3 linked regions of the Tamandua tetradactyla genome follow. The main gene of each other region encodes a partner of the protein of the gene in region 3 in a complex. Links are inferred from orthologs where the notes say so. Each region holds a gene or a part of one and is shown on either strand. Other genes may lie near its edges.

The links.
Region 1: TAF6 (region 3) and TAF13 share a complex: the UniProt entries of both Homo sapiens proteins name them as parts of the TFIID basal transcription factor complex. The link is inferred for Tamandua tetradactyla from reciprocal best matches to the Homo sapiens genes TAF6 and TAF13.
Region 2: TAF6 (region 3) and TAF7 share a complex: the UniProt entries of both Homo sapiens proteins name them as parts of the TFIID basal transcription factor complex. The link is inferred for Tamandua tetradactyla from reciprocal best matches to the Homo sapiens genes TAF6 and TAF7.

The regions. Positions count from the first base shown.
Region 1 is NC_135337.1:13,851,464-13,859,303, reverse strand, and holds the start of TAF13 (transcription initiation factor TFIID subunit 13), read right to left. Parts: upstream 3,031-7,840; 5' UTR 2,945-3,030; coding exon 2,918-2,944; intron 2,114-2,917; coding exon 2,035-2,113; intron 1-2,034. UniProt on the Homo sapiens protein: The TFIID basal transcription factor complex plays a major role in the initiation of RNA polymerase II (Pol II)-dependent transcription.
Region 2 is NC_135346.1:21,439,150-21,445,920, forward strand, and holds TAF7 (transcription initiation factor TFIID subunit 7), read right to left. Parts: upstream 2,368-6,771; 5' UTR 2,052-2,367; intron 1,648-2,051; 5' UTR 1,585-1,647; coding exon 535-1,584; 3' UTR 512-534; downstream 1-511. UniProt on the Homo sapiens protein: The TFIID basal transcription factor complex plays a major role in the initiation of RNA polymerase II (Pol II)-dependent transcription.
Region 3 is NC_135349.1:8,261,339-8,268,852, forward strand, and holds the start of TAF6 (transcription initiation factor TFIID subunit 6), read right to left. Parts: upstream 3,105-7,514; 5' UTR 2,828-3,104; intron 1-2,827. Other genes in the region: CNPY4 (protein canopy homolog 4), read left to right, coding at 3,239-3,380, 5,354-5,480, 5,579-5,675, 5,934-6,056, 6,556-6,673, 6,764-6,906. UniProt on the Homo sapiens protein: The TFIID basal transcription factor complex plays a major role in the initiation of RNA polymerase II (Pol II)-dependent transcription.

The sequences.
Region 1 (7,840 bases), on a different chromosome or scaffold from region 3:
CATATGATCTGACAATCCCACTACTAGGTATATACCCAGAAGAACTGAAAGCAGAATGCAAACAGACATTTGCACACTGATGTTCATAGCAGCATTATTCACAATTGCCAAAAGATGGAAACAACCCAAATGCACATCAACTAATGAATGGATAAACAACTGTGGTATATACATACAATGGGATATTATTCAGCAGTAAATAAGAATGAAGTCCTGAAGTACATGACATAGATGAACCTGGAAAACATTACGTTCAGTGAAGTAAGTCAGACACAAAAGTACAAATATTGTACGATATAAACTAATTATATGTGAACTCATAGAGATAAAATCTAGAATATAGGTTGCCAGGATATAGAATGAGGGTAAAGAATGGGGAGCAGACGCTTAAAGTGTGCAGAACTTTTAACTATGTTGAATTTAAATGTTTGGAAATGAATGGAAGTGATTGTAGCACATTATAGTAAGTGTAATTAACAGTTAACAGCACTAAATTTTGCATGTGATTGCGGATGAAAGGGTAAGTTTAGAATTGTGTATGTCACTAGAAGGAAAGCTGGAGGATAAAACATGGGACTGTATAATACAGTGAACCCTGTGGTGAACAATGACTGTGATTAATAGTATAAATATAAAAATGTTCTTTCATGAACTAGAACAAATGTACATACATCACTATTACAAGGAGATAATAATATAGTTGTATATGGGGAGAAATGGACCTACTGCAAACTATGGACAGTATAGATAACAGGAATATTTTAACATCCTTTCATGAACAGTAACAAATGTAACAAATCAAAGCTAGGGGTCAGTAATTGGGGGGATAAGAGGTATGAGATGTTTTGGGGTTTTTTGTTTTGCAGTAATGAAAATGTTCTAAAATTGTGATGATAAATGCACAATTACGTTATGGATGATACTGTGAGATACTGATTGAATACTATGGATGAATTGTATTCAATCACAGTAATGAAAATGTTCTAAAATTGTGGTGATAAATGCACAATTGTGTTATGGATGATACTGTGAGATACTGATTGAATACTATGGATGAATTGCATTCAATCACAGTAATGAAAACGTTCTAAAATTGTGGTGATAAATGCACAATTGTGTTATGGATGATACTGTGAGATACTGATTGAATACTATGGTGTGAATATATCTCAATAAAACTGCAAAAAATTAAAAATAAATGAGAAAGAGTTTGAACAGATCTTCTTTTTCAGTAAGATAGATTAAAAATTCAGGTAAACCAAGGAGAAGGCTGTCGAAATTCCAAATTCTTACCATCATAAAAATAAAGTAATCCAAATGGAACAAAGGTCTCTGCGAAGAACTATGCAAGCATCATTCTGGGATGCTCTGAGGTAGAGAGCCCTTTTTTATGAATACATAAAACCACATATAATTAGATTAAATAACAGCAGAGATGGAACACATACTAGTTAGGTAAGCTCTATTTTAGGTAAGGAATTGAGATATGAGAATCAATTTGGGTGGTTTTTAAAAAAAGAACAAAAAGATATACTGATCCTACAATTTCAAGAGCATTTGGGAACTGCTCATATTTGACCCAGCATAAATAAACCAGATATTTATAAATCTGTGTGTAGCCTCATCTGTCAAAACTCATAGTAAAGGAAACTGAACTGGGAGATGGACAGCCTTTTAGGGGTTGGCCTACAGTATCAGTAGTAGGGGCAGATGTATACCAGAATCCATCATTTCTTATGCTTAATAGTCAAAGAAGTTCCTTTGCTGCAAAGATGAGGGATAGAAAAAGTAATGGATGGATATGTTCTTATGCGCCGAATTAAAACACATTTCTTCACTTAAAAACCTCAATTATAAGTTGAGGTTAGGATTGTTATTATCTACAATTTAAAACTAAACAGAATAGACAAGTCCAAGAATATTGTTCTTACAGGGACTCACAGAATGATAATTCAGAATGATAATCTGCTTAGTACAGACAGGTTCAGAAGCTTGTAACCGTCCATAATAAAACCATTGCCAAATATAACTTACATTCTTTAGAAAAAAGTCTCTTTCTTTTACCCTGTCCACCTTCTGCACCTCCTCCAATTTCTTCATTTTCTTCCTCAAACTAGAAGTTAAATATATATATACATATAAATGTCATACGATTGCATTGCATTTGAGTTTTTAATGATTAACTTTTTTTTTTCATTTTCAACACTAACATCAGGTCAGAAAGCTTAAGGCAAACAACAATAAATTATGAAATCTTAACATTGAAAGGGCCTTAAAGATTATTTAGTTCAACTTCAGACTCTTTAGTTACTTTTTTTTTTAAATCAAGTTGGCCTATTTATAGACTGCTACCGGTAAAAGAGTTGGTAGTATTAAATCAAAACTACCTCCCTGTAGTAAGAAACAGTAATACTTACTAAACACTTATTTGTGTAGTGCTACGAGCTTTCCTCAAGTAAACTTTAATCCCATTTACAAGGAAACAGAAGTTCAAAGTTAAATAACTTGCTCAAAAAACAGATTTTGAAGTTCAAGTTCCCTGACTTTTAGTCCATTATTTTTCCATTAATTTGAAGTAAGTATATCAGCTTTGTCAGAAGTTGAACTGTTGATTCATAATGAGCGCTAACAATTATTAGCCTTCAACTCTTGAGAATTCTCTAGGCGTTTCAAAGACTGTCTGGCAGATATGAACCAAAACCAAAGGAAAAGGAGGCATCTCCCTACTCTTCACGTCCTATTCCGCGTACTAAAACGACTCCAAAGGGAGAGACAAGCACGGCGAGAGGTCACCGAACTCTCTTGGAAATTCACTAAGGAAAACAAACCCGATTCTGAATTCAGCTTCAAAAGCCGCCGCTACGGAGCCCGAAAAGAGAAAAGAGAAGGGAGAGCTGGGACAGAAGCGGTCACTCACCGTGGGGTCCTCTTCCTCATCTGCCATCCTACCATCCAGCAAACCTATGTTTTTCCGCGTCTTACTACTTCCGCTTCCTCACTTCCTGTGACGCAAAGTCTGGGAGGGCCAGAGGGCGGGTCCTAGCCGGTCACAGCCGGTCGGCCTGCGGAGCTTGCAGGCCCGTGTGGCTGCTGAATGAAGGGCTTATCTGCAGGAGGGGCGCCTCGTTGTCCCCGTGATACTGAAGAAAGAATTAAACTGTAGCAAAGAAGAGGAAGGGGGAAGGGGAAGGGAGGGGTAGCCAGCGGTCCTTCGACCGATTGAAGGGTATATTTAAACAATTTCAGCACTTGACGATCCCCCTATTAACAGTTATTGACAATATTTTACTTTGCTGCTAGTTCTCGAGAGGCAGTAACGACCTCAAGACCGAGAGGATTAAACATTTTGTAGGAAAGTTTTCTGGTGAAATAATGATTGGATGAACTATGGTCATTTGAGGGCCGGAGCTAGGAATTTATGGTGCCCTGCAAGGCAAGAGATGATGCCGCACAACGGAAAAACTGTTCCTTGATATATGCAATTTCTGAATAGCCTGATAAACATTCATGTGAATGAAAAAATTGTTTATAATTATCTGAGCCTAGAACTAAGTTTGTTAACATATAAATACAAAGCATTTTCCTGCACTTCAGTGTGTATTGAATTTTCTAGGAATAAAACTATCCTGAATTGGTGGGATTTTGTACTTGGTTTTATTTGGAATTTACAAAGTTACGGACCTTTTAAGACATGTCACCAAAGGCAACATCACTTATGTATTAGGATTTGTTGCCAGACAAAGGCCATGGATTCTTTTTCCCCGACACACTCGATAACCAATGCCTGAGAAAACAGAGTTTCAGAGAGAAAGAGTTTATTACTAGGGGCAAAGTAGGAGAGCAGATGGCCTAGCAAAATCGGTCTCCCCAAACTGCAGTCAGTCTGGTAGTTTTAACACAGAAAAGGATGGGCAGCATTTAGGATGAGCACAGTGGCCCCAGATAATGAAATTAGAGGTAATCTGATTTTCAGCACGTGCAGATTGATCACATGCTTAGTCACAGAATGTATGAAAGAAAGCGATGGAATGAGGAATAGGTGATTTACAGGTTAAAGACTAAGCTAGGGTGCATGTCCAGCAGGCCCGCTTTGATTAGATCCGGTCTTGGTCATCAAAATAACTTTATATTTGGAGTGGGTTAGTTCTGGGCTGACCCAGGACCCTTCATTAATAAACCTTAGGGGATATCTTTAGTGATTACAAAACTCTAAAGTTGGAAAACTGGGTACAAATGAAGGTTAGTCACAAGGTTTTAACAATCACAGGGGCGGAAGATAAGGGCTATACAACCATTATCAGAGATCAAGGCAGCTAGACTGCAATTTAGAGATTTCAGGAGTTTCCTTCTGGCTACTCCAATATGCCAGAAAGCAAAAAAGAATATCTATATAATGATTCTGTAATCAAAATCATCCCTTAAAATCCTAATTTCTTGGTTATAGATTCTCTATGGAAACAGAACTGACAGGAGATATCTGCAAATCTTATAAAATTTTATAAAAGTGTCTCATGGAACTGTAGGAATGCATGAGTCCATATTCTATAGGGCAGGCTGCATGCCAGGAACTCCATTGAAGATTTTCAATGAATTCCCCAGGAGAAGCTGGCTGGCTGAAGTGGAGATGAAAATTCTCTCCTCTGACTGCTGAAATCATCACTTATCCTTTTAAAGCCTTCAACTCATTGGATGAGTCGTCTCTCATTGCTAAAGCCAGTTGTAACCAAGAATTTAGGATTTAAGAAATGATTATGGTTACTGAATTATTATATAGATATTTATTTTTACTTTCTAGTGTGTTAGAATAACTGTAAGGAAATACCTGAGATTGCTGAACTATAATCTAATTGTCTTGATCTTTGATAATGATTATATAATTATATAGCCTTTATTTTGTACCCTTATGATTGATTGTAAAAAACTTGTTACTGATCCTCACTAAATCACTAAAGATAGTCCATAATGTTTATTAATTAAGGGCTTGGAGTCAGCCCAGAACTAACTCACCCCAATTCCAAAAGGATCTTCTTTCTTTTCCTTTCTTTTCTTGTGCATGGGCCAGGAATCAAACCTGGTTCTCCCACAAAAAACTGGTGAGCATTCTACCACTGAACAACTCCAAAACTGTAAACGAGGCTAGATCTAATTAAAAACAACTTACTAGACGTGCACAGTAGTTTAAACTTTTACCTATAAGTGACCTATACTTCATTATACTACTAAAAACCAGCCCCATCATCATATTAAGGCTTCCGTTTTCTTACATACATTCTGTGACTAAGCATGAAGTCAACCTGCACATGCTCAGTGATTAGATTATCTCTAACCTCATTATCTAGAGCCATTGTGCTCATTATCCTAAAACCTGCCCATCTTTTGATACTATAAAACTATCAGACTTACTGCAGTCCAGGGAGACAGATTTTCAGGCTGATAGGCCATCTGATCTCCTAGACTTCAAACCTAGCAATAAACTTTTTCTCTCTTTGAAACCCTGGTATCTCATGAATTGGTCGCTTGAGTGCACTAGGCAGAGAACCCACTGCTTTTGTCTAGTATCACAATCTCTTCAGTTGACTGTAGATATGATCAGCCATAATGTAATCCACTTATTGATGATTTAAGTCCACAAAATGCCCTCACAGTAACAGGCCAGTGCTTGTTAGACCAAACAACTGGGCTCCATTACCTGGCCAAGTTGACTCATGAACCTAACCATCACAACTTGTAATAATTTGAGTAGCCAATACTCACCTGAATAAAAAACAAAAAAAATAAATAAAAACAACACAATACTCACCTGAATCAGTCTGCATTTATAACTCTTTCATTCAAGTTGATACAACATAACAGTGCAAGCATTTGAAAACTTCATTGCAAACCCTAGTGTACTTGTGCCTAAGCATTTTATTACAATTTACTGTCTTAATTTTACCTTTATATTATACTTAGGAAATGATGTATTATTTTTAAATGATGTGGGTATGCAGGTATATTATTTATTGCTGTGTAACAAATTATCCCCAAACCTAATAGCTTAAAACAATTAGCATCACATCATTTCTGCGGGTTAGGAATCTGAGTGTGGTTTAGTTGGTTGCCTCTGGCTCAAGGTCTCTCATGTTGCATTCAGAGCATTGACTGGGGCTGCAGTCCCATTTAAGGGTCGAAGGAGGAAGATTCACGTCCAAAATCATTCATATTGTTGTCAGCAGGATTCAGTTCCTAGTGGCTATAGGCTCTCAGTTCTCACTAACTGTAGGAGTAGGCCTGCCTCAGTTCCTTGCCGTGGAGTCCTCTCCGTAGGGCAGCTCACAACATGGCGGCTGGCTTCCCTCAGGGAAGATAAGTGAGAGTCTTGGAGAACATCCATGACACAGCCACAATCTTTTTTGTAACCTAATCTTGAAATTGACATCCCATCACTTCTCTCTATTCTGTTCACTGGAAGAAAGTCAACCAGTCCAGCCCACACTCAAGGAGAGAAGATCTCTTAAGAACACCAGGAAAATGGGGTCACTGAGGACTATTTTAGAGGCTGTCTACTACAATAGGTTATGTTGTCTGTGAATTTCAACATAATAAAGGAGCCATTATAATATATTTGTTATTTAAGGAAGATTTTTGAGTCTGATAAGATTGAGAACCACTGTGTTAGACAATGATGAAATATTGGCCTCGTCCAGAAGGTGGGGTGTAAAACATTCATGGTGTCCATCGTCAGGAGAGTGGATAGGTAAAACGTGCTGGATGTACATAAAGGAGTACTATGCAGTAATCAGAAGCAACAGACCACCTGAATAGAGCTTTTTTTAGAACTAAGTGGAAAAATTATAAACTGAGACCTATAATACAATATCATTTATGTAGATTAAAAATACATGCATGCAAAGCAATACATATTTTACAGGAGCATAAAACAAAAAGCATAAATATTAAACACATTAGAGTGGTAGGAGTAGGAGGAATGGAAATAGGAACAAAAGAATAAATAAAGAACAAGGGCTTTGGAAGGGCCAATTATAATAGTATGTCATGTGGAATGCAAATAATTCAACCTTCTGAACCCAAGATCCAAAATATAAAGCCGGGGAGGGGGAATCGGGGACCCCTGCAGTGTGATGAGCAGAGCAGGAATAAAGCACAGAGCAGGAAGAGTCATGGTGTGTTTTGACAAGATATTCAGGGTGAGTTGCCCAGTTTGTTGGGCAGCGATGCAGGAAGTGAGCCTGGGGTAATATTGTGAAAGGCCTGGAATGTTCTCTTCAGAGACTGAATTTCAAACTGCAGAGAACTCCTGGGTGATTTTCAAGCAGAGGAGTCACATAAACCTATCTTTAAGAAAAAAAAAAAAAAGATCACTTTAGCAGAAAGGCCAGATAAGATGAAAGATGATGAGAACCTGAATTAAGGCAATGGAGAAAAGAAGAAGGAAATGATTCAAGAGAAACTTAAGGAGGTTGACTTAATAGGTCTTTCTGATTCAATGATTCTGAGACATATGCATGAGAGGTTTATATCCAGGTGGATGGTATGCCATTAACATAAGTAGGAAAGTAAAAGGGGAAAGCAATTGGGAAAGGAAAGGAATAAGTTTAATCTGAGTCTGAGAGTCCAGATATGCCCAATAAACTCATGGAAGTGCAGACCTGGAAATCCATGGGGAATCATGAGCAGAGAAAATCATATGGGAGACATCAACATAAAGATGATGGTTGAAAGACTATATGGGGACAATGATGAGAAAGAAGGGAGGCAAAGGGCAAACGCATAGAAGCATGTACATCAGGGAGACAAAAAGAAAAGACAGACAGAATGGCCCAAGAGGTAAGAAAAAATG
Region 2 (6,771 bases), on a different chromosome or scaffold from region 3:
AAAAAGCAATAGTGTCTGGCAAACAGAGTAACAACAGCAAAGTCTTGCAGTATAGCTGTGATTATGAACATTAAACTGTTCAATCCTACAACTTTCCTAAAATCATTTTTCTACCTATACAAGCCTACTTCCTAGAAGAGAAACACCTAGCAAACTGGTTCTGAGAAACAAACAGGATAAACTCAACAGAAGACAGAAGAGGGAAAAGGAACTACTACAAGGTCATAATATCCAATTCTAGGTGTTTCTTTTTGGCTGACCTGTCTGAGGAATAAAATTAAGTATCAGGGCGGGCCGCGGTGGCTCAGCGGGCAAAGTGCTTGCCTGCTATGCCGGAGGACCTCGGTTCGATTCCCGGCCCCAGCCCATGTAACAAAAACGGAGAAACAGAATACAATAAAACAAGAAAATGTTTAAAAATGTTTCCCTTTCTTCCTTCCTTCCTTCCTTCTATCCTTCCTTCCTTCTCTCTGTCTTTCCTTTAAAAAAAAAAAAAAAAAAAAAAAAAAAAAAAATTAAGTATCAAAGGTTTTCTCACTTCTCTAGGAGTGATTCTAGCTCTTCTTGCAAAGAGCTAAGCTGCTCCTTTTCTCGGTCTTCCTTCTGTTTGAGTTCATCCAACACAGCCTGAAATCTGTTCTTGAGCGCCAAGTTTTCCACCTTCATGATGAGATCCTCCTGTCGTTTTGCCCTGTCCTGGGTCTCTTGGAGCTTGCCCTTCACGTTATCAATCTGCTTCTGAATCCCCATAACCAGCTGATTGGTTCCCTCGTTTTCTTGGTGCTGTTCATCTGATTCATTTAGCTTGTCATGCAGCTGTCTCTCCAGATCCTCCTCCGTATCGATGATGTTTATATCTTCTTCATCCGGATGATGCGTCTCATCTTCATCTTCGCTGCTGCTGCTGAGGTCATTAAATATCTCCCGAAGCTCATCGTGTTCTAATGAGTCATGGCCCTGCCTATGGCCAGACATTCCCGGAGAGGAGATATCAAGGCCCTGATTTTCTGCCTCTTTGGTTTCATCTTCTGCAATGATTTCCCAACGAGTACTGACTGCTTCTGCATCTGTACTCAGCAAACGCTTCACTTCCTTTTCCACATCTGGAGATTCAATGTACTTCTTCTTTGCTGTCTTACGGAACCGTCTCTTTCTGACATTTTTTAGAGGCAGAGTAATTCCATGGTTCCAGATAAACTTCTTCTCTTTGTCCTTATCCTTTTTCTTGCTTGCTTTTGGATCAGCAGCGGCAACTGGCTCTTCCACTGGAGGGTAGAGGTCACCATCCACTGTTGACACAAGCATCTGACAGATATCAGCTGTCTTGTAAAAGGTTTTTTTATCAATGGTTTTCAAGCTTTCCATAACGCAGGGCAGATCTACCAACTTTGAAGCCAGTGGGACCCGGTCCACTCTGACAATTCCATGGCGCCCATCAGGATGTAACTCAATTGTCAGTCTGTCTTTCAAGTTGACATGGCCAGACTGTACTGCCCTCCTCACAGTAGAGGCATATTCCGGAGGTAGGCGTAGAATAAACTGGCTCTCTAGCTCATGAGGAGCATCATCTTTGCTCTTACTCATCTTTACTTCCTTGTGACACTTCTCCTCTAAAACTTGTTTCACTAACAAGTTCCAAGTTACTTTCTGCAATAATTAGAAAAGCCACTGTTACAAACTGAAATTCTTCATTACAAAGTTTAAAACACAACAGCAGCTAAGCATCTATTTTTACTTAATTATGAATTAAGTCCCAGGCCTTTTCTCTAAATATGACGCGACTGAGAACCAGTCGTTACTGACAAACACTGGCTTTTTCGCAGTTGTGATCATTTAAATCTATTAGCTGCAATGCCAAGTTTCAACCTCTAGGTGCCGCTGCCGGACAATGCAAACAGCTAGCAAGCAGCAAAGCAAATGGCGGTTCCGGCGAAATTATTTTCGGCCCAGAAAGTAATGCCCAACAGACATTCCCAATCCACAAACTCTCCCGGAACAAAGATATTTTAAAAAGCGAGGCGCAGTGAGCTTTCTTCGCCTCCGGTACTTACAATCCACTGAAGATTACAAGTTCGGCTTCTCCAGACCGGTGCGAGCGGAAGAGGACTCGGCCCGAAGCACGGCAGCCAGGGGCCCAGAGTCTCCTTTTCGATGCCTCTGTTCTTCTCAGCGGTTGGCACAAAGATCCGCTACCAATTACGAGTGAAAGGACCAGGGCTATCAACGCGAAATGTCGCCGAGATTCGCAGCTCAGTATACCGCAGCGCTCAGTCCGGAGCTGCAGACCTAGAGAACAAAGAAGCGCTACGTCACTGCGCGGGGCGGGAGGCGGCTTGAGCGACACGACCCCCTGCCCGGAAATGAGAGCCGCCCGGCGCGCGCATGCGCGTTTGCGCAGCTGGGCGTGAAAGGCCAATTTTTGCGACAACGTAGACCGTAAACCCCGTAAGAAGTAAAATATTTCATACAGAGCTTTTGGTTTGAGAACGCACGGAAATAACAGTTCGGATTAAGAGACAGACTTCCCCTACCCCCCACCTCTAGCTACCCTGCTAAGCCAGGACTTTTATCGGATCTCCATGGAGCCGGATAGCCTCTAGGCTTCCGGATGATTACCGGAGATAAGGGCGTTAGTGTGCAAAGTGTCACTGCTTCAAGGAATATGATGCTCCCCAAAGTGTGTCTGGGAGCCAATACAAGAATTTATAACTGTTCTGGTTTGCTAGCTGCCGGAATGCAATATGCTAGAACGGAATGGCTTTTTTTTTTTTTTTATTAATTAAAAAAAGAATTAACAAAACAATTAGAAATCATTCCAATCTACATGTACAATCAGTAATTCTTAATAACATCACATAGTTGCATATTCATCATTTCTTAGTACATTTGCATCGATTTAGAAAAAGAAATAAAAAGACAACAGAATAAGAATTAAAACAATAATAGAAAGAAAAAAAAACAAAAACAAAAAACCTATACCTCACATGCAGCTTCATTCAGTGTTTTAACATAATTGCATTACAACTGGGTAGTATTGTGCTGTCCATTTCTGAGTTTTTATATCCAGTCCCGTTGTACAGTCTGTATCCCTTCATCTCCAATTATCCCTTCTCTTTTTTTTTTTTTAATTAACGGAAAAAAAGAAATTAACCCAACATTTAGAGATCATACCATTCTACACATGCAATCATTAATTCTTAACATCATCACATAGATGCATGATCATCATTTCTTAGTACATTTGCATTGGTTTAGAAGAACTAGCAACATAACCGAAAAAGATATAGAATGTTAATATAGAGAAAAAAATAAAAGTAATAATAGTAAAATCAAAACAAAACAAAACAAAACAAAAACCTATAGCTCAGATGCAGCTTCATTCAGTGTTTTTTTTTTTTTTTTTTTTTTTTTTTTTGATTTTTCCTTGTTTTTTTTTTTTTTTTTTTTTTTATACCTCAGTAAATTTTTTTTTTATTAATTAAAAAAAGAATTAACAAAACAATTAGAAATCATTCCAATCTACATGTACAATCAGTAATTCTTAATAACATCACATAGTTGCATATTCATCATTTCTTAGTACATTTGCATCGATTTAGAAAAAGAAATAAAAAGACAACAGAATAAGAATTGAAACAATAATAGGAAGAAAAAAAAACAAAAAAAACAAAAACAAAAAACCTATACCTCCATGCAGCCTCATTCAGTGTTTTAACATAATTGCATTACAATTGGGTAGTATTGTGCTGTCCATTTCTGAGTTTTTATATCAAGTCCCGTTGTACAGTCTGTATCCCTTCATCTCCAATTATCCCTTCTCTTTTTTTTTTTTTAATTAACGGAAAAAAAGAAATTAACCCAACATTTAGAGATCATACCATTCTACACATGCAATCATTAATTCTTAACATCATCACATAGATGCATGATCATCATTTCTTAGTACATTTGCATTGGTTTAGAAGAACTAGCAACATAACCGAAAAAGATATAGAATGTTAATATAGAGAAAAAAATAAAAGTAATAATAGTAAAATCAAAACAAAACAAAACAAAACAAGACAAAAACCTATAGCTCAGATGCAGCTTCATTCAGTGTTTTAACATGATTACTTTACAATTAGGTATTATTGTGCTGTCCATTTTTGAGTTTTTGTATCTAGTCCTGTTGCACAGTCTGTATCCCTTCAGCTTCAATTACCCATTGTCTTACCCTGTTTCTAACTCCTGCTGAACTCTGTTACCAATGACATATTTCAAGTTTATTCTCGAATGTCCGTTCACATCAGTGGGACCATACAGTATTTGTCCTTTAGTTTTTGGCTGGATTCACTCAGCATAATATTCTCTAGGTCCATCCATGTTATTACATGGTTCATAAGTTTATCTTGTCTTAAAGCTGCATAATATTCCATCGTATGTATATACCACAGTTTGTTTAGCCACTCTTCTGTTGATGGAGATTTTGGCTGTTTCCATCTCTTTGCAATTGTAAATAATGCTGCTATAAACATTGGTGTGCAAATGTCCGTTTGTGTCTTTGCCCTTAAGTCCTTTGAGTAGATACCTAGCAATGGTATTGCTGGGTCCGGAATGGCTTTTAAGAAGGGGAATTTAATAACTTGCTAGCTTACAGTTCTAAGGCTGTGAAATTGTCGAAATTAAAACAAGTCTATAGAAGGGTCCAATCTAAGCATCCAGGGAAAGATACCTTCGTTGGAGAAGGCTGATGACGTTCAGCGCGTTTCTTTCTCAGCTGAAAGGGCACATGGCAAACACGGCAGCGTCTGCTAGCTTTCTCTCCAGGACTTTTGCTTCATGAAGCTCCTGGGGAGGAGTGTTCCTTCATCTCCAAAGGTCCCTGGCTGGTGGACTCTGTGGTTCTCTCGTCCTTGTGTCTGACTCTGCGCTCCTCTCCTCGTTCTCAAAAAAGGGAACTCTCTCTGAAATGTCTCTTCTTTTATACGATTCCAGTAAACTAATCAAGTCCCATGTAGGATGGGTGGAGACACCTCTTCATCTAATCAAGTTTAATCACCACAATTGGGTGAATCACATCTCTGTGGAAATAAACTAATCAAATTTCCAACCTAGAGATTAGAAGAAAACATTTCTCTCACAAGAGTGATTAGGATTAAAACATGGCTTTTCTAGGGTACATAATCCTTTCAAACCAACACACATGCTGAATTTTTTTCACTATGGCACTACTGTTTTGCTGGCTATTTTCTGTTTGTTTCACGTATGGGTTGTCTGGTGTGCATCAACACCTATTTATATTGTTGCCAAGTAATAGATAAGGGTTTCCACTTATTCCTACTCATTTCCATTTTTTTCAAATAGGATCAGTTTGGTAGAGCATCAAAGTCGTTTAGAATCTAATTGCTATCCTCTCAAATATTAACAATTACACATGAATTTAAGAGAATATCTTGTCTGATTAATATTCCCAAAATTGCTTTATTTATGCACTTGTTAATTGTTTTCCTCACCCCAGATTGAAAGCTCCGTGATGGTCAGGGAGCATTTCTATTTTATTCATCATGTGCCTACTACCACAACATAGGAGAAACACAAGAAAAGTTTGCTAATTGGATGGAAAATTGATCTATGTAGAAAGAACACAAATATAGGCTAACTCCTGTCATAATTTATGAGAGAGAATACTTTCTCTGTCACCTTAAAATGAGATAGAGTCACTTCATCTATGTCTCTAATACATAGATAATAATTTCTTCTCTAGTTGAGGGTAGTGCCAATTGTTATGGGGCAGGGGAGATTAATCATAGTGTATGTGAATGTGTCCTCTTGGTTTTAGGTAGATTGTGATATTGTATTATAGGAAGAAATTAAAATGACCTAGGATTAATTTAGTTTTATGTTAATCTTTAAGAAGAAAGTATGCCCTTCCAGAAGGGCATCCTTCTCTTTGTATTGAAGGATGCTATTTGATTCATTTATTATTTCCATGATGATCTATTTTCTGTCTGTTGAAGAGGAAATTTTTTCAATGTGCTTGTTCCTCAATTATACCTGATTTTACTTATTTTACAGATAGAAGAGTAAACATTCTAGCCTCTGCAATTATATATATATATATATTTATATATAAAATATAAATAATGCTTATGAATGAAAATAATCTAAATATTATTTTATGTTTTAATTCCCCAAGTTTGGGGATATTCAAATGCCCTTGTCACAGAAAGTAGCCTGAGATTAATTCTATTAAATACTGATTTGCTCAAATTATGATGTATTTTCGTTAGTAAACCTTAAACTGGAAGACAGTTTGAATTAACCAAAGGGATTAACTGAGGTTTCCCTGAGGCATCTAACTCATTTAATCCTGAAACATATTATTGGCTTTTGAGTTTAGCATGTGTTCTAAAGGCTATTAAATGGGGTGGGGAGGGATTATACTGACCTTGAAGTTAAGATCTCTGCCATATCACCATCACCTTAGTATCTATTAAGAAATCCAGGTTCGTTCGTTTTTTCAAATCCATTAAACATACAGAAAAACACAGACTCTGAGCCGATCAATTACCCCCCTGTACTTGTTTATGGAATATCTGTGATACCAGTGAACCAAATATTTAGGGAAGGCAATAAATTTTCCAGAGTGGTAACAAGTCCTTCAAAGACTTCCTACCTATAATAAGGGAAGACAATAATTAGGCTACTGCTAATACTGTATTCTTGAAAGTTTCCTGTAGTAAACTTTCACTTTCCTTAAAGGGCTGCTAATACTTTGGAGATTAAAAAATT
Region 3 (7,514 bases):
GGTTAAATACAACTGTCCTCTCTCAGCCTACATGTCTGTACAACTGGACATGATGAGACAACCGTGCTGACCAGTTCTCACTTGAAATTCATGACCATGAGCATCCGATGGACCCATAAGCCTGCTAGACATCTTAAAAAAAATACAAAATCTTTTCTTGAACCTACTTTCTGCACCAGCTATACCCTGCTTTGTTGTTGTTGTTTCTTGTAACAGAACTCCTTCAAAGAGTTCTCTTAACTCTCTGTTTCAAATTCCTCTTCTTTCCTCTTTAAACCTACTCCAAGTGGGCTTTTGCCCCCATTTATGCTCCTAAAACTGCTCATTAAGGTCACCAGTGACTGGACATTGCCAAAAGATCCTCTCCTTGTCATCTTACTTGACCTCTCAGCAGTATTTAACATGAGTGACCACCTTCTCCTCCTGAAACACTTCCTTTATTCAGCTGCTTCACCTTCTCCTGGTTTTCCTCCTACCTCTCTGGCCATATCCTCCGTTTCTCTTACTGTTTTTCCTCTTTTCCCTACCTGCTTAATGTTGGAGTGTCCTGGGCTCAATCCTTGGTTGTCTTCTCTAGCTGTGTTGTCTCCCTTAGTCATCTCAACTACTCCTACAAGGAAGTATTTTTTAAAGGCTGGTGATGGCCAAATTTATATCCCCAGCCTAGATGGCTCTCCCTAATTTCAGACTTGAATATCCAACTGCCGCTCAAAATCACGCTTAAAACTGAACTGTTCATCTCCCTATCTACCTGTTCCAGCCTCAACTTTCCTCATTTTTAAGCAATGCCAACTTTTCTTTATCTGATCCCTCACTTTGAATCCCCCAGATAATCCAAACTGGTTCCTTCACTCCCACCCTTGGATAGCATCAGCAGCCTAACAAGGTCTCCCTGCTTCTACCTTTGCCTCCCTACATTCATTCCTAACATAGCCGCCAAAGGGATTGTTAAAATATAAATAATAAAATGTAAATAAATAACATTATTATGACATAATAATGTAATTATGTCATTTTTCTGCTCAAAACCCTGCCACGGCTCTCCATTTACCTTAGAGAAAGATCCGAAACACTTCTAATAGTCTACAAGGCCCTTGAAGGTTTGTCCCCTCCCCATTACATTTCTGACCTGCTTTCCCCCATGTTGGGGATTGAATCATGTGCCCCACAAAAGGCATTTTCAGGTCCTGACCCCTGACCTGGTGTGAACCCATTTGCAAATAGGACCTTTAAGGATATTAGTTAAGGTATGACCAATCTAATATGGCTGAAATCCTTATAAGCAAAGGAAACTGAACACAGAAGGAAAAGCCACGAGAAACAGCCAGAGGCTGTAAGTCAGTGGCACGGGGATGAGAAAGAAGACACCACCACCATGTGCACTGCCATGTGACAGAAAAGCCAAGGAATCCCAAAGAATGCTGGCCAGCTAGAAGCAACCTACCAGGGGAGGGTGTATGCCTTTTAGCTTCTGAAACCATCAGCCAATAAATTCCTGCTGTTCAGCCAACTCATTATATGGTGTTTGTTTTAGCAGCTAGGAAACTAAGACACCTTCCTTCTTTTATCCTGAGCCAGCCACACTGTTGTCCTTACAGTTCTCTGAAACTGCCAGGTATGTTCTGGCTATTTAAAGCTCTTGCTGTTCTTTCTGCCTGGAATGCTCTTCTCCAGATGTCTGCTTGGCTGTCCTTCCTGACCACCATATTTAATACTGTACCCCACCCTCATTCTGCTCTACTGACCTTTTTTTCCCCCATAGAATCTAAAATCTTCTAATATATTGTATCATTATTATTGTTTATCACCACCATGGTCCCCACCATGAAAGCTCCATGAGAACAGGGATTTTATTATGTTCACTGATGTATTCCAAGAGCCTAGAACAGTGCCGGAGGGGAGAGAAACATTTAGATAATCTCTGAATAAATGAATTGTAAGGCTTAGAGCTATTTGTATATACCATGTCTGTTCAATAAATATCCCTTATTGCTATCACTAAGATGAATAAGACGTAGGCCGAAGCTTGGAATCTATTCTGTGGTCAAAAGTAAGGGGGCATGCTTGGAGATGTGCTTTAGGAAGATAACAGTGTTCAGGTCCGACTGTCCTGGGAAGGAGAGAAAAGGGGCATGCTGTGGAGGGCGGGGAAGATGGAAGCCGCAGGTGAATCTGCTTCTTCTCAAACCATCCCCGGGGTCCTTTCTCACTTGTAAGAAGGAACACATCTATTCAACACATGCACTGTGCCGGCGGCAGGGATACCTGATGCCGTCCTGTGCCAATTCCCTGCCAAACTCCTACTAATCCTTCGACATCCAGCAGTACTCTCTGCCCCCTAGGTAAAGCCTCCCCATTTCCCTACAGAACTAAGCATTCCTCCACCTGTGTCCCCAGGACACAGTCCTTTCCAGAGTTCATCCCACTGGAGGGTGACTATTTACGTTATGTCTTCTTGCTACTCCCGCACTGGGACCCGTAGACAGCAGGTATCTAATAAAGGCTTATAAGACATGTTACAGCTTTGGGGGTCTCTCAGGCCGGTAGAGACAGTTGGAAAGCTTCCCAAGAGAGGGGAAGGTCTTCAAGGTGATTGGTGCAGGAATTTTTTCAACAGAGAAGCCGAGAGAAGCTGCCCAGGCAATGGGAATCGCGCTAATGAAGGCTCAGCGAACTCTCGCTCGCAGCATCCCTCCAATGCAAACGCACGCACCGGAGTCCCCACGCGCACGGACACATCACCAACTGTCCTCTTCCTGATACTCTCCCGATAGCACTCAGACCCACCCCCGTTAGCCAAGCGCCCAGCGCAGGAATTGTCTCTCACCAGTGTCACAGCGCCGCTCATCCGGCGTCCGGCGCCATGTTAGGCCCGCCCCCTCTGAGGAGCAGGACCTGGCAGAGATGGAGAGCAATGCACGACCCTTTTCCAGAGCCGGAATAAGTTCCCTAGGCTCAAAGCCTTAAATAATATTTTAAAAAATAATGCTTCCATATCCATATGTAAGAAGCACGCTCTCCTTTCTCAGTTACTTCAATTGACTTCTTCACTGCTCGGCGGCCAGGACCTTCAGCTGGCGCGACAAACCTGGGGCGGAGAAGGAGGCTGAGGTCCCGCCCCTATGGGATTGGCACGGCGCACGCGCTTCCGGTGCCAGGCTGGATTTCAGGTTGCCGCCCACCACCTCTGAATTTAAAGGGCCCGCTACCCTGCCGGAGTTGGTTTGAGGGTAGGGAGATGGTGATTTGCGGACCGCACTTAGTCATGGGACCTGTGCTGTTGGGAACGTTGCTTTTCATTTTGACCGTGTTCGGGGCTTGGGCTGGGACGCCGAAGGAGGAGGATGAGGACACAGAACGCTTGCCCAGCAAATGCGAAGGTATCTAAAGTCATCAGCCCCTTTCCGTAGCCCCCTGCCCCGCCTGCCCCTGCTGGGGACACGTTTGGGTTGAGGGAGTGAGAATGGAAAGGTTAGAAAGGTTAGGGCAGAGAGGCTTGTAGGCTCCACTAAAATCGACATCTGATTTCTGATCACGGTAAAAGGCCTGCAGAGGTGTTAAACCAAGAACTGACACGACCAAATGGACCGTGATGGGTCTCCTTGAAATTCAGAGGGAGGGTCTCGTGGAATTTGGCAAAATTCGAATGGGGTCAAGGAAGGGATCGCAAAGTGCTGCCCTCAAACTGTGGCACTCCAATTCTCACGAGACAACCGGAAGGAGACCCCTTATCCGGCTGCCATGGGCTCCGATAGTTTGTGGGAATTGTAGTTCAGGAACTTTCTGCCTGGGACTGCCCACTCTACTGAGCATATTCAGTTTGTGTGTGTGTTTCCCCCATGTCATCGGATCTAAGTCTGGAGAACTCAGATCTTGCAGAGCAAGGTGTGTGAGGCTGATACTTTGTGGACATCTTCTACCTCACCCCGGCAGAGACGCTCCTAAATTACAGGCCCATGCCCACCCCTGAGGGAGTTTGGAGGGTAGGAACTCTGCCCTTGAAGCTCATAAACAAGGTAGGAGGATGCTTCACTGCTGAGAAGTTCTCCAACAGTGTGTGCTTTGCCGAGGGCATGTATTGTATGGCTTTTACAGCAAGCAGCAGCTTCTGTGGCTGCATCAGTTTGGACCACGCTGGGCCGGCACACTCCAGTGCTGGAGAATTGAGTGTCTTCCTGGCTTTCATTTCTTCCTGGGATCCCTTTTCTCATACCCCCACTGCATTTAAATATCAATTAAATATCAGTGTCCCTCAGGCCTTGATCCTCAGCTTTTTTCTCATTTACTTCTGACCCCTCCCCTTCGTGTGCTTCTCCCCCCACTTTTCCATCAGTCTTTCTAAACATAGTCCTAATTGACTCAGTCCTTGCTTTGGCATCGCCACAGGCCTCTTACTATGATCAGAAACAGCTAGTTTCTAGCATAGCATATAAATCTCTTTGCTGTTTGCTCCCAACCTTTTTTACCTTTCCATCCTCCCCCCCCCCCCATCGCTAAAGTGCCACATGCATCAGCCATACTGGTCACTGAACCTGCCTCATCCTCTTGTACCTCTGTGCCTCTGCATTTTACTCTTCCCCGTGCCTGGAGTGACCCTCTCATCTGAATCTGGCAAGCTCCTATCTATTCTTTAAGACCCAGTTTAAATGTCACCTCCCCTGGAAGCCTTCTTCTTCATCTGTCATCTCCCACTAGCTCCTTGAGACAGTGGGGGATGGTTTTGTTTCCCCAGGTCCTAGCATGGTGCCTAGTACATTTTGGACATTTTTGTCATTTGCCCCAGTGTATCATTTACTTGTCACTTCTGTCTAGGCCATTCCCTTTCTTGGGACCCACCATGTGCCAGGTAACGTGATAGGTGCTGAAAAGACAGTGGTGGAGCAGACTTCACCCTTAAGCACACTGCAGTCTAATAAGAGGTCAGTAAATGACCATTGAAGGAATTTTGTATTTACTAATGAGAGTCTTGGTCTGAACCCTTAGTGTAGGGTGCCATCATCTGTTCGTCTGTCTTTCCACAACTACCTGGGCAACATCACTTGGATAGGTATTGTGGGTCTTACTGCTCTATTGCTAGTGTGCATACAGAAGGAGCTCAATAAGTAACTGCAGAATAACAGCAGTTATATAATCCTCACCACATCACTATAAAAGAGGTACTTGTATTATCTCTATTTTAGAGATGAAGAAATGGAAGCACAGTGAGATTTTCACACAGCTGCGAAGTGGGAACCAGGATTCCCACCAGTCTGGTTCCAGAGTCTGCACTGTGCTGCCTTTGGTCATTTGCTGATTGAGTTGCTTGTATGTATTTGTCGTTCATGACCCCTTGGACCTCTCTTTCCTCCACCAGTCTGTAAGCTGCTGAGCCTGGAGCTACAGGAGAACCTGAGTCGAACTGGCCAGTCTCGAGAGGTACTGGAGTTGGGACAGGTGCTGGACACAGGCAAGAGGAAAAGACATGTTCCTTACAGCGTTTCGTGAGTCTTTCTTGGTGCTTCTCCACCATCCAAGCCCTGAAAGAGCGCTGGGAACTCCTACAGCATCTAGGAAGTCTTTGTTTCCCCTCTTCCCACAGGGAGACGAGGCTAGAAGAGGCCTTGGAGAATTTATGTGAGCAGATCCTGGATTACAGCGTTCATGCTGACCGCAAGGGCTCCCTGAGATATGCCAAGGTCAGACCCTTTATGGGGCAGCCGTGATGGGAATGCCACTTTTCAGAAACAGTGACCTATATTCCCAGAAGTCCTGGGGAGATGTCTGCCCAACCTCCCCCAGCTCCAGAATATACCTTCCCCTCATCAGCCTTCCACATCTCACCCTCATGGAATGTAGCCCTGAATCTCCAGTAGATGACATCACTGATGTGGTAGGGAAGGGGAAGGGAAAAGCAGGCAGTGGGCTGGGCTAATACCAAATTCCTCATCTCCCAGGGTCAGAGTCAGACCATGGCAACCCTCAAAGGCCTGGTGCAGAAAGGGGTGAAGGTGGATCTGGGGATCCCTCTGGAGCTGTGGGACGAGCCCAGCGTGGAGGTCACGTTCCTTAAGAAGCAGGTATGATGGGATACTACACTGCAAGGGAACCTGAGAGGGAAGCTAGGTCCTAGGATTGACTGGAGGGGATGTCCACCTCTGCCCAGAGAGAAGGGGGAAGAAGTGGCAAGAGTGAAGACTATGCCATCAATTGATGTTGGCCCTGAAGCCTGTCAAGAAGCGGTAACAGAGACTACTAATAACCACTACTGCTTATTGAGCACATGGCATGTGCCTGAGTCAGAACCACAAGACACCCAATGTGGTGGGTACTATAACCATTTTACAGGCAAGAAACTGAGACCCAAAGTTTAATAGGTAACCTACTTGGCACAGAGTAGGTACTAGTAAATGTTTGAATGAAGGAGGATCACACATCTAGCAAACCAGGCTTACCCTCCAGGCTGCCTCCAAGGTCAATCAGCTCAGGTAGGGGAGACAAGGAGTAGAGAGCAGAGAAGAGGGTTTTCAAACCCCAGCACAGCGGACACCTTTCTGGTTCTTTCTTCCTCTTGGTCAGTGTGAGACTATGCTGGAGGAGTTTGAAGATGTCGTGGGAGACTGGTACTTCCACCACCAGGAGCAGCCTCTACAGCACTTTCTCTGTGAAGACCATGTGCTCCCAGCTGCAGAAACGGGTAAATGTGTGGACTGGCCCCTTTCCTACTTACCCAAAACCGCCCCTACTCCCTATATCTATCTAAATTGCCTTCTCTCACTCAATCTAGCATGTCTACAGGAAGCCTGGACAGGGAAGGAGAAGGAGATCACAGATGGGCAAGAAAAGACAGAAGGGGAAGAAGAGGAGCAGGAGGAGGAAGAGATGAATAATATGCCAGGCCACCCCAAGCATGACCCAGAGGACCTTTGAAGCTTGCCTTTGAGCCCTCAGGAGGGACAGGGGTCATGGGGAAGAATCCTCTGACATCTGAACTCTCCCTGCCTCCACAGCTTTAAGAGGGTGTGTTTGTGTGTGAGTGACCCCAGTCCAGAGCCTGTAGCTGTAGTCTTCCATCTGGTCCCAGGCAGTATTCCTGGTGGTGCTGCATGGCATAGCTTCTCACATGGGGAGAAGATGGGAGGAGCAGGTAGAAGACCTGCCTCAACAGACAAGCCCTCTGCCTGCCACCCAGCCCTTTAACTGGCAGATACGGGAAGTGACAGTATGGAAGGCTTTCCCCTTTATCTCTGCTACCTCCAGAGGTCAGCAGTGGCTGCAAGGCTAAGGGCCTTGGGACAGTTACTTTGCCTCTTTAGGTCTTAGTTTTTATACCATTGCAAGAGGCCGGAGCGGATATCCTCTACGACCTATTCACACTATCTGCTTCCAGGAGGTCTGCGTGCCGGCAAATTGAACAAGAAGGGGACAATGGATGGGGGCAGGACGATGCTGATAAATTAGGCAGGATAGATACTTGGACTACTTCATATTAATTTCACCGAGGACACACTATATAATTTCACAGGTGCCAAATTTTC